Neurospora crassa OR74A: one gene and its partner. The protein of the gene in region 1 interacts with the protein of each later gene in a pairwise test. Links are inferred from orthologs where the notes say so. Each region holds a gene or a part of one and is shown in the gene's direction. Other genes may lie near its edges.

Region 1 (4,200 bases):
ATAATCAACTATTTTGCAACTCTTGTTTTCATTGTTCTATCCTTGCTGATATCTTGAAGCCCTATGTAAATGTCAAGGACAGGCACACCGTCGATCCTCAACTACATCCAATTTTACTGGGGTCATTGAGTTGTCGAGTCATGAACACAAACCTTACCTCGTCAAAGATGCGTTGCAACAAAACGTATGAAACGTTCACGCCATCAACTACTGACCGGTCAGTTCAAGGTCATACGCGAATCGGCATCGAGCAGAAGGCGAAGACGACACAGATCAGACAAGCCGTTTTAACTCAGCCCTACAAAGCCGGCCCAAGCCTCCCACGCCCCAAAACGGTGCGCAGGAGACTCGGACAACGGAAGCCAAATGACACCCCGAAGGGAGACACCACAACTAGTCCTCACGCCCCGAAAGACGCTCCAGTGCGGATGGATGGCTCGGCCCGTACATATCGTTGAATGGATAGACTGTTGTCATCATTGTGCATGGGACAAAGGAAAAAAAAAAAAGGCAAAGTACCTACCAGATGGGCATGTCGACTCTCCCACTAGACGCAAGATCGTTTTCAGATCCTATATAACTTGAAGTTTGTTAGCCAACTTGCTCGCAGCATGTGTGGTGAGGGCTGTCGTTGCAAGAAAGAGTTGGGGTGATTGCCATATCAGAAGGTTTTGGTATAATTGGTTATCGCTCATTATTATTCAGAAGCAGAACTGAAAATATTTTGTTTCATCATGGACAATCGGGTGGGTGATGATGTCAGGTGGGGGAAAGAAAACAGAAAGGAAAACAATGTGATGCTTACCTAGTGGGTAGAGACTGAGAAAACGGAGTGGAACAGCAACGGTGACAATAACAACTTTGTCTGTACTATTGATTGTCAGTCAACGGTTCCTCCAAATGAGTTGCAAGTGAAGGATGTGTTGAAGGAGTAGTCAGATGGTAGTGCATGTTTGTTCGATCGCTCAGAGATTATCGCGAGAACTGTGGTTATGGGATCATCATGAGATGTGAAAGGCAAGGGGAAATAAACTTACTCTATCCGTGCGAACCAACGTCGGCCATGTCAGACAGCCAGGACATGCTCTCTAGCAATGGGGTTCGCCATCGCAGAATAACCAAGAGCATGCCTGGACAGTTGACATGACCATGCCATTGCTGCGCCAGCGCAGAAGGCTGCCCAACCAAAGCGACCATGAGCACGGTAAGACCATGGTATCATGGCTGCTCCCCAAAGACAGTGGCCATATCAAATGAAGGCATTGATCCAATGCCGACAATCGCAAGCCGTTCCTGCCGTTGCGAACGGTGTGGGTTGGTGGAAGAGTTCAAGATGAGGTTGGAACTGAAGGCGGCAGAGTTTTGTAGCTGCGCAAAAAATTCCTCCATCGGTGGCTTTGACATGGAATTCTGGGTGGGGCATGTGGCTGACTGATCAAAATCGACAGTGAATGTGAGGTTGCGCCACAACTACTTGAATTTGAGAGTGGACCCACTGCAGTGTAGACGGCGACTCTCACGTCTTGTTTTCAACAGTCAACAGAGGTACCAACAGAAGTTACCAACCGTGAAACAAGGAAAGCCATACACAGACGAGGTCTCTTCCTCTTCACCTATCTCAGGATTCTTCGACCAGAGAAGGGCATCGGAAACAACACAGCAATCACCAAGCCCACCATATCTCCGGCCCTCGTATCTTGGCTTCAAAATGGCCGACAGAAGACGTATTAACGGACCGGTTGGGACTACCAACCCTCCCATCTATGACGATGCACCCGAGAAGCAATCCGAAGGTTTCAAGGTCACAAGGTCACGCCCGGCGAACGTAATTCGCAAAATGTGTAAGCACGTCGAGGACAAACCCTCCTGTTTCGCAGACACAGACTAACCTCACGTTTAGATCTCAAGACGGGAGTGACACCGTCGGCCTCTGGCTCTGCTTACCTAGAGATCGAGTCGTCTGGAAACGGCGGCTCTGGCTTGAAGCTCAGTTGCAGCGTTCATGGACCTAGAGCTTTGCCCAGGTCAACACCTTTTTCTCCTCACATCATCTTGTCCACCCATGTCAAGTTTGCACCCTTTGCGACCAAGCAAAGGCGTGGTTACATTCGTGACCCGATCGAGAGAGATCTCGGCACTCACCTTGAGACGGCTCTTCGGGGATCTATCATTGCTGACCGTTGGCCAAAGAGTGGAGTGGATATCATCATCTCCATTGTTGAAGGAGAGCAAGATCGGGAGACCTCCAAGGCCCAGGGTATTGAGGCCTGGGACACCATGAATGCCTTGAGTGGCTGCATCACCGTTGCCTCGGCTGCACTTGCTGACGCTGGCATTGACTGCGTCGACACTGTGGCCGGAGGTGTTGCTGCGTTGGTACAGGACGCAGGTAATGACGCTGCTCCCAGCATAGTTGTCGACCCGATTCCTTCTGAGCATGAGAAGGTTCTTGCAGCGTGCTGCATCGCATATCTTCCCACACGACAAGAGGTCACCAACCTCTGGTTCAAGGGTGACCTACCTGCGTCCGATATGGACGTTTATACGCAGCTGATTGAAAAGGGCATTCAGGCTTCCAAGAGCGCCAACCGCGTGCTCGTGGACTGCCTGAACGAGACCGTTGGGTGATCATGAGGTCGGCGCGGCAATGTATTATTTGTTTTAGCTATGCGCGAATGGGAAATACTCGTATTGAAACCTGTAAGTCCATCAACGGGAAAAACGCATGGAATTCTATGGTCTGACGGTTCATGGTCTTTGAGTACCTCTACGATTTTGGTCGATTTATCGACCCGAAGACCAGCTTCTGATGCAATAGGTCGAGCTACCAGCCACTTGGTCTTTCGCAATAGCCCATATGTAGGGCAGAAGTAACGGAAGATGCCAATCGATAGCAGCGACAACAGAACTGCGTTCCGAGGTTCGGCGGCTGACTGCAAGAATGGAATGGTCAACTTCCGGCGGGAATAGTTTCGAGATGCCTGTCAAGGTCTGACAGGTTGAGCGAGCGCTCTTTTGCTGAAACTCAGCTGGAAGATCGCAGTGTGATGGACGAATGACGTCCAAGAAGCGTTGTGGCTGGTATGCAGAGCTACCCTCTGAGGTTGACTGCCGAAACATTATGAACCGCGGGGTATGAGAAGCTTCCACGTTCTTCGCCTCAATGATCGTCTGTTTCTGAAATTGGAAACATGATGTGGGGAGATTACGCGTATCGTTTCGTTCATAGCAGCACGGCATGTTCGAAGCAGGGCAGACATGGCCAAAGGTGGTGGCTGATCATGAACCGAGGTTTCACTATTACTGCGTAGGGCATACATACACTACACCTGAACTACTTTCTTTTCGTGTCCGGCACGATCTAATCACTTTATCTGAAGGGGACTGTGGTGAATAGCTCGTATCTTTATCAACATTTCGAGGTGGAGGTAACATAACATGATCAACTACATAATCTGCACAAAGATCGAGTAACGTTGCGTTATTACCGGCGTTCTGGTCCGTAACTTTCAGCATTACGAACGCCACCAAGGAAACCCAATGGAACTGAAGTCACTGCATCCGAAGGCGGACGTGGTACCACCACTCACATATTGGCACAGTGCCGGCCGCGTTCAGCGACGGGGCGCCCCCCGGCGTGGCGTGGTCCCGGGCCCCTCTTTCCCCTGAACTTCTCCTTATCTGCCCCCCCACGGTCCCTCCAAAAAACTACAGACATTTCCCAGTTCGGCCCACATTGTCCACTCAGGCGGGAATTGTAAAACGACCTGACAATCCAATCTTTCCCGTCATCCTCCAAAATCTCACCTCACCCAGCTTTCGGGCGAGTTTTCTCTCGCTTCGCACCTGGTCATTTCACTTTTCCCAAAACCACCCCTACTCTCGTTTCTTCCGACGGTCCCGGCTGCCTACCTACCTACCTACCTACCTACCTACCACACTGTACACTTTTAATTATTCCATAGTGTTTTGTCCATTCGTTTTGCGGCCGGTAATTCCTCCTTCCAGCCTTGCTTGTACCGTCGATCAATTCGTTCCGTCTCCACTGCGATTCCGCAACAGTTCCAGGTTGTTGATGCCATAATTCCGATGCGGTCGTCCATACAACATTAATTCCCCTATTACGCCATTACCGACGACAACTTGAGCAATCCTCGCCGAACCGAGACAGCTGTGCCTTGTCCGACTTGATTTCGCATT
Region 2 (4,553 bases), on another chromosome or scaffold:
AATTCGCCGGCAGTTCGGTGGAACAATGGAACCCTTCGACGACGCACAAAGGCGTAACGCTGACTTCCAGGTTTGTATTATGCAGCACCTTTGACCCACTGCAAGAATAGGTAGGTCACGTCCAGCTTGCCAAAGTCAAAGAAGCCATTGTTGTTTCGCTGACAATAGACTCGTCATCGTGACCCCATTCGTTGAGTTCCTTTCTCTTCGTTTTCACTCAAAGGGGCCCAAGACAGGACGCACGTGCATTGACTGGTGTTCTGGAGATTAGGTGAGCATGGGGGCGGGAAGGTTCCGTTGCTCTGGCGTCAAGGATAGCAGCGCTAGCCCTGTTTCTCGAAGCCTGGTCGCGGTCGGGTGGTCTGAAACGAGATGAACGGAAACGGGGGCAATGCCAACCAAAGAGCTTTGATCCCTAACACATGTCCGGATTAAGTGCCGCGAAATGTGTTAGCGAGCCCCCTTGGCTAATTCATGGTTCGTTCATCCACAGTTTGATTAAAAGTGTAATGCGAATTGGCGTTGGCGGGTCGTTCCTTGGTAGACTGGGCAACACAGCACTTCCCCATTGCCCCGTTTCTCCGTTCCATTGGACCCCGTGGGCTGGTCGGGCCACCAGCGCAGTAATTCTTCAATGAGTAAGCGCGCACCTCGAGGTTTTCACAGTGAAACGAGAAACAAACCGCGCCTGATGAAACTGTTTAGTTGACAAAGACATTGTGGTCACTGGATGACGACTTGCTCATGGTGGATCTCTGTTCAGTCATATCGATAGACTAGGCCAATTCGTGCTAGCCTGGGCCGGCTGTCTAGGGCTGCATCATGCGCCGACCGACGGCGCCTCCTAGTGTAGAGACTTGATGTTGAACAAGTCTCCCCAAAAACACCAAACGGAATCCTCTTGAACCTTGATCGATTCGCACCCCAGATAGGGAGCTCCAGGAGCATTGGCGAGCGTTCCAGACTTCTAGAACCGGATCACTCTTGGGTCCGAGATGATAGAAGATGACGACGCGCTCAACCGAGGCTTCCAAGAATACAAACCAATTGACATTTCGAACACCCAGCGCATCGCGGTACCCATGAGATGATCTTGGTGGCCGTTGTCCCGTATTCACTTAGCGAAGGGGGGAATGGAGGAATGCCGGTTTCCTCCTTGCTGTTGACAAGGGGTCACTGCCACTGCCACAGTGTGCCCCTGAGTAGAGGTAGCCTACCTACCTCTAGGTAGGCTACCTAGTAGTGATCACTCCTGAGTCCAGACTTCAGGCCCTCTCCTGCTCACAATGCACGATCAAGATCCCATCAACATTGCGCATTCGATTGATATCTTGCCATCAACTCACTGTACCGCTATGAGCTGGAGAGGTCAAATGGGGGCTGTCAAGATCACGTGGAGAGTAGATGGACGGGAACCTTCAATTCCATGTTCCGGGGCCATCACGTCCCGTCCTCTGTCTGCAGCTGCAAACAACTTGCCTACAAGTAGTGTAGAGGTATGCACAGACCACTTGCATGCATTTTCAGCTCCTGATGGAAGCGAAGCAGAACTTAAGCAGAAGCCCTGCGGATGGAACTCCCGTCCTGCCGAGTGAGGTGAGCGGTGGAGCCCGGCACGGCGACCCCGCGAACGTGAGACGCAGCGGATCTTGCCCCGCCCCGCCCAGCTAAACTTTTCCTGTCTTGCCATTGGAAACTTTCGGCCTGGCCCAACCACGTCCGTTTATTCCTAGCAAAAGGCGATTTCAAAGTCAACAACCGTCCACCAGAACCTGCTGTCGATTATTCAGACTGGTCGACCGGAAGCTCCGAATTCCCACTTTGCGCGATAACTTAGTCACTGAAACTGGGGCCCCGACACTTCCGCATTACGCAAGCCTTTCTCTCCTCCGACTCAACGTACCGAGAGCTTGCGCGTCGCTCGCGGCACGATATCGCATCGAATAATCTGTCCCATCGAGCCGAAACTGTACGCACTAACCACGATCTCCCAGATCGAGCTTGGCCGACCCGACTCGAAGAACGACTAGGGTACAACTACAAGCACAACCTGAGCTTGGTGGACACTAAGCAGGGGAAGCAAGAGCAAAAAATCTCGACTCAGGTCCGGCTCCCCAGACAGGCCCTCAGGGCGTTTGTTGTTGTTGATCCTTACTGGATACCGTACCCCAATCTCGACCTTTGGTGTACTCGCTACCTGCCCGGTAGAGAGATTAGCCCGAACCACGATACCCAGAGGAGTAGAGTGAAACGCTAGAACAACAGAACATAGAAAGAAACACCTGTCCACCCAGCTACACCGCTATGCCTCTCGATACTTCAGCATATAGCCTCGCGCTGTTGCGCGTCGACGGCCGCAGGTGGAACGAGCTGCGTCGCATCCATGCCCAGATCCGCACCCAGGCCGCCGCCGATGGCTCCAGTTACCTCGAGATGGGCCACACCAAGGTCATGTGTGTCGTTAACGGACCCAGCGAGCCCGGTCCTCGGAGGGGAGCCACGTCGGGCGGTGGTGGTGGCGGTGGTCAGTCCAAGAACGCCGAGGTTGCTGTAAACATTGTCATTGCCGGGTTTAGCTCGGTTGACCGTAAGCGAAGGGGGAGAGGTGATAAGTAAGTCAAAACACCCAGGGGTTGTTTCCCCCCCAGTGTCAACTACGGCTATTCGTCTGTCACTGTTCGCATAACTAACCCGTCATCCTTCCTTCTTCCATCATCACAGGCACATCCTCGAACTCCAATCGACGATATCTCAAGCCCTCGCTGCCAGCTTACACACCCACCTCTTCCCGCACTCCACCATCAACATCTCCCTGCACGTGCTCTCGCAAGACGGCTCTTTGCTGGCCGCCCTCATCAATGCCGCCACGCTCGCCTGCGTCGACGCCGGCATTCCCATGACAGACTACGTCGCGGCCTGCACGGCCGGCTCGACGTCTACATACGCGGCTAACGACGAGGGCGCCGACCCGCTGCTGGACATGAACCACCAGGAGGAGCAGGAGCTGCCCGGCCTGACGGTGGCCACATTGGGCGACAGCGACCGCGTGGCGGTGCTGGTCTGCGAGAGCAGAGTGCAGGTGAGTCGCCTGGAGGGCATGTTGGCCGTGGGCGTGGACGGGTGTAAGCAGGTGAGGGAGATCTTGGACAGGGTAGTGAGAGAGAAGGGGATAAAGATGATACAGGAGGGCACGGTCGAGAGAGGGGTTGGGTTGAATGACATGGAACTGGATTGAATGGACACTACTGAATCAATGGTTGGGCTCCGGGTCACAGAATCGGATATGGTACGGTAGGTAGCATTACAAAGGCTTGGAGCAAAAAAGAATAGGCAACATGACGAATTTGACGAATTTCACGACTATCAATGTAATCAAAAGTACAGCTCTTGGTCAGGTGAGCAACATGTCGTTTCTGTTAAACGTGCGCCAACTTTTGAAAGCGTTCTCCGAAACTGAAAGGTACCAAAAAACCTTCAACTTTTGACCAGCCATTCACTGACACAAGTCACAGCAAACTACGCTTTCACCAATCTCTCACAGCTCATCGTGACCACTGGCCGTCTTCGACTGGGCCTCAGGCGTCTCCCCCTCCTTTGAAGCAGCCTTCTCAGCCTTACCAGACTCTTTCTTTTCCTTCTTCTTCTCCTCCTCCTCCGTCGAAGAAGCCTCAACAACAATACCCTCCGGCAGCTTTTTCTTGGTGCCCTCGCTCAACCTAATCGCATCAATCCACGCCTCCACCTTGTCATGATCCGAGAAATCATCTCCCTCACCAACAGCGTCGTAGCGTCTCCACCATCCGCGACGGGCGTTGATGACGATGAGTTCAATGTCAGCATCCTCCTTGAGGCCAAGGGATTTGAGAAGGGACGCGCCGGCGGGGTTGGTGTCGAGGGGCACCTCGTAAAAGGGGAAGAGCTTGTGTTGGCCGAGGGCATATTTGAATTTTATTTCGGCGAGGTGGGTGAGGGCCTTTTGGGCTTTTTCGTTGGAAGAGGATACCAGCGCGAGAAGGCAGGTGCTGGATTTGGACGTGAGGCATTCCTTGACGAGCTTTTCGGGGGTGTTGAGGGAGGGGATGGGGAGGGCGGTGTGGATTATTACGGGAATCTCTTGGGTTGGGGCAGGGGTTTCGGAGGACGTTTCAGAGGAGGTTTCGGAGGAGGCGACCTTCTTGGAGTCTTGCTTTCCGTTTTTTTCACCACCGTTGGCCTTGCCGTTGGCCTTACCATTAGCCTTGCCATTAGCCTTGCCATTAGTCTTGCCATTAGTCTTGCCATTAGTCTTGCCGTTGGCCGGTGCTGGGTCCGGATTAGGCTGGGCCGCCTGGGAAAGGAACTCCACCATGGCGGCCTTGTTGATCTCGCCGTCGTACACAATACCAGGGGCATCACCGCCAGGCAACAAGATCAGAGTAGGGAGTTTGTCGACACCGAATGTGGATACCGCCTTGGACTGAGTGTTTCGCACCTGACCGACGGGCATGACACCGAGGAATTCAATGGCGACGCTCTTCAGCAAGGGGGAGGTGGTACCCTTGTCGGTGAAGAGG

What was found.
Region 2: the proteins of NCU08026 (region 1) and NCU00812 interact in binary tests that used the Saccharomyces cerevisiae proteins (3 or more experiments, as listed by UniProt). The link is inferred for Neurospora crassa OR74A from reciprocal best matches to the Saccharomyces cerevisiae genes MTR3 and SKI6.

The regions. Positions count from the first base shown.
Region 1 is NC_026504.1:3,956,633-3,960,832, forward strand, and holds NCU08026 (3' exoribonuclease), read left to right. Parts: upstream 1-1,515; 5' UTR 1,516-1,708; coding exon 1,709-1,841; intron 1,842-1,900; coding exon 1,901-2,628; 3' UTR 2,629-2,700; intron 2,701-2,762; 3' UTR 2,763-3,460; downstream 3,461-4,200.
Region 2 is NC_026501.1:7,077,068-7,081,620, reverse strand, and holds NCU00812 (exosome complex exonuclease RRP41), read left to right. Parts: upstream 1-1,697; 5' UTR 1,698-2,304; coding exon 2,305-2,612; intron 2,613-2,721; coding exon 2,722-3,235; 3' UTR 3,236-3,535; downstream 3,536-4,553. Other genes in the region: NCU00813 (disulfide isomerase), read right to left, coding at 3,536-4,553. UniProt on the Saccharomyces cerevisiae protein: Non-catalytic component of the RNA exosome complex which has 3'->5' exoribonuclease activity and participates in a multitude of cellular RNA processing and degradation events.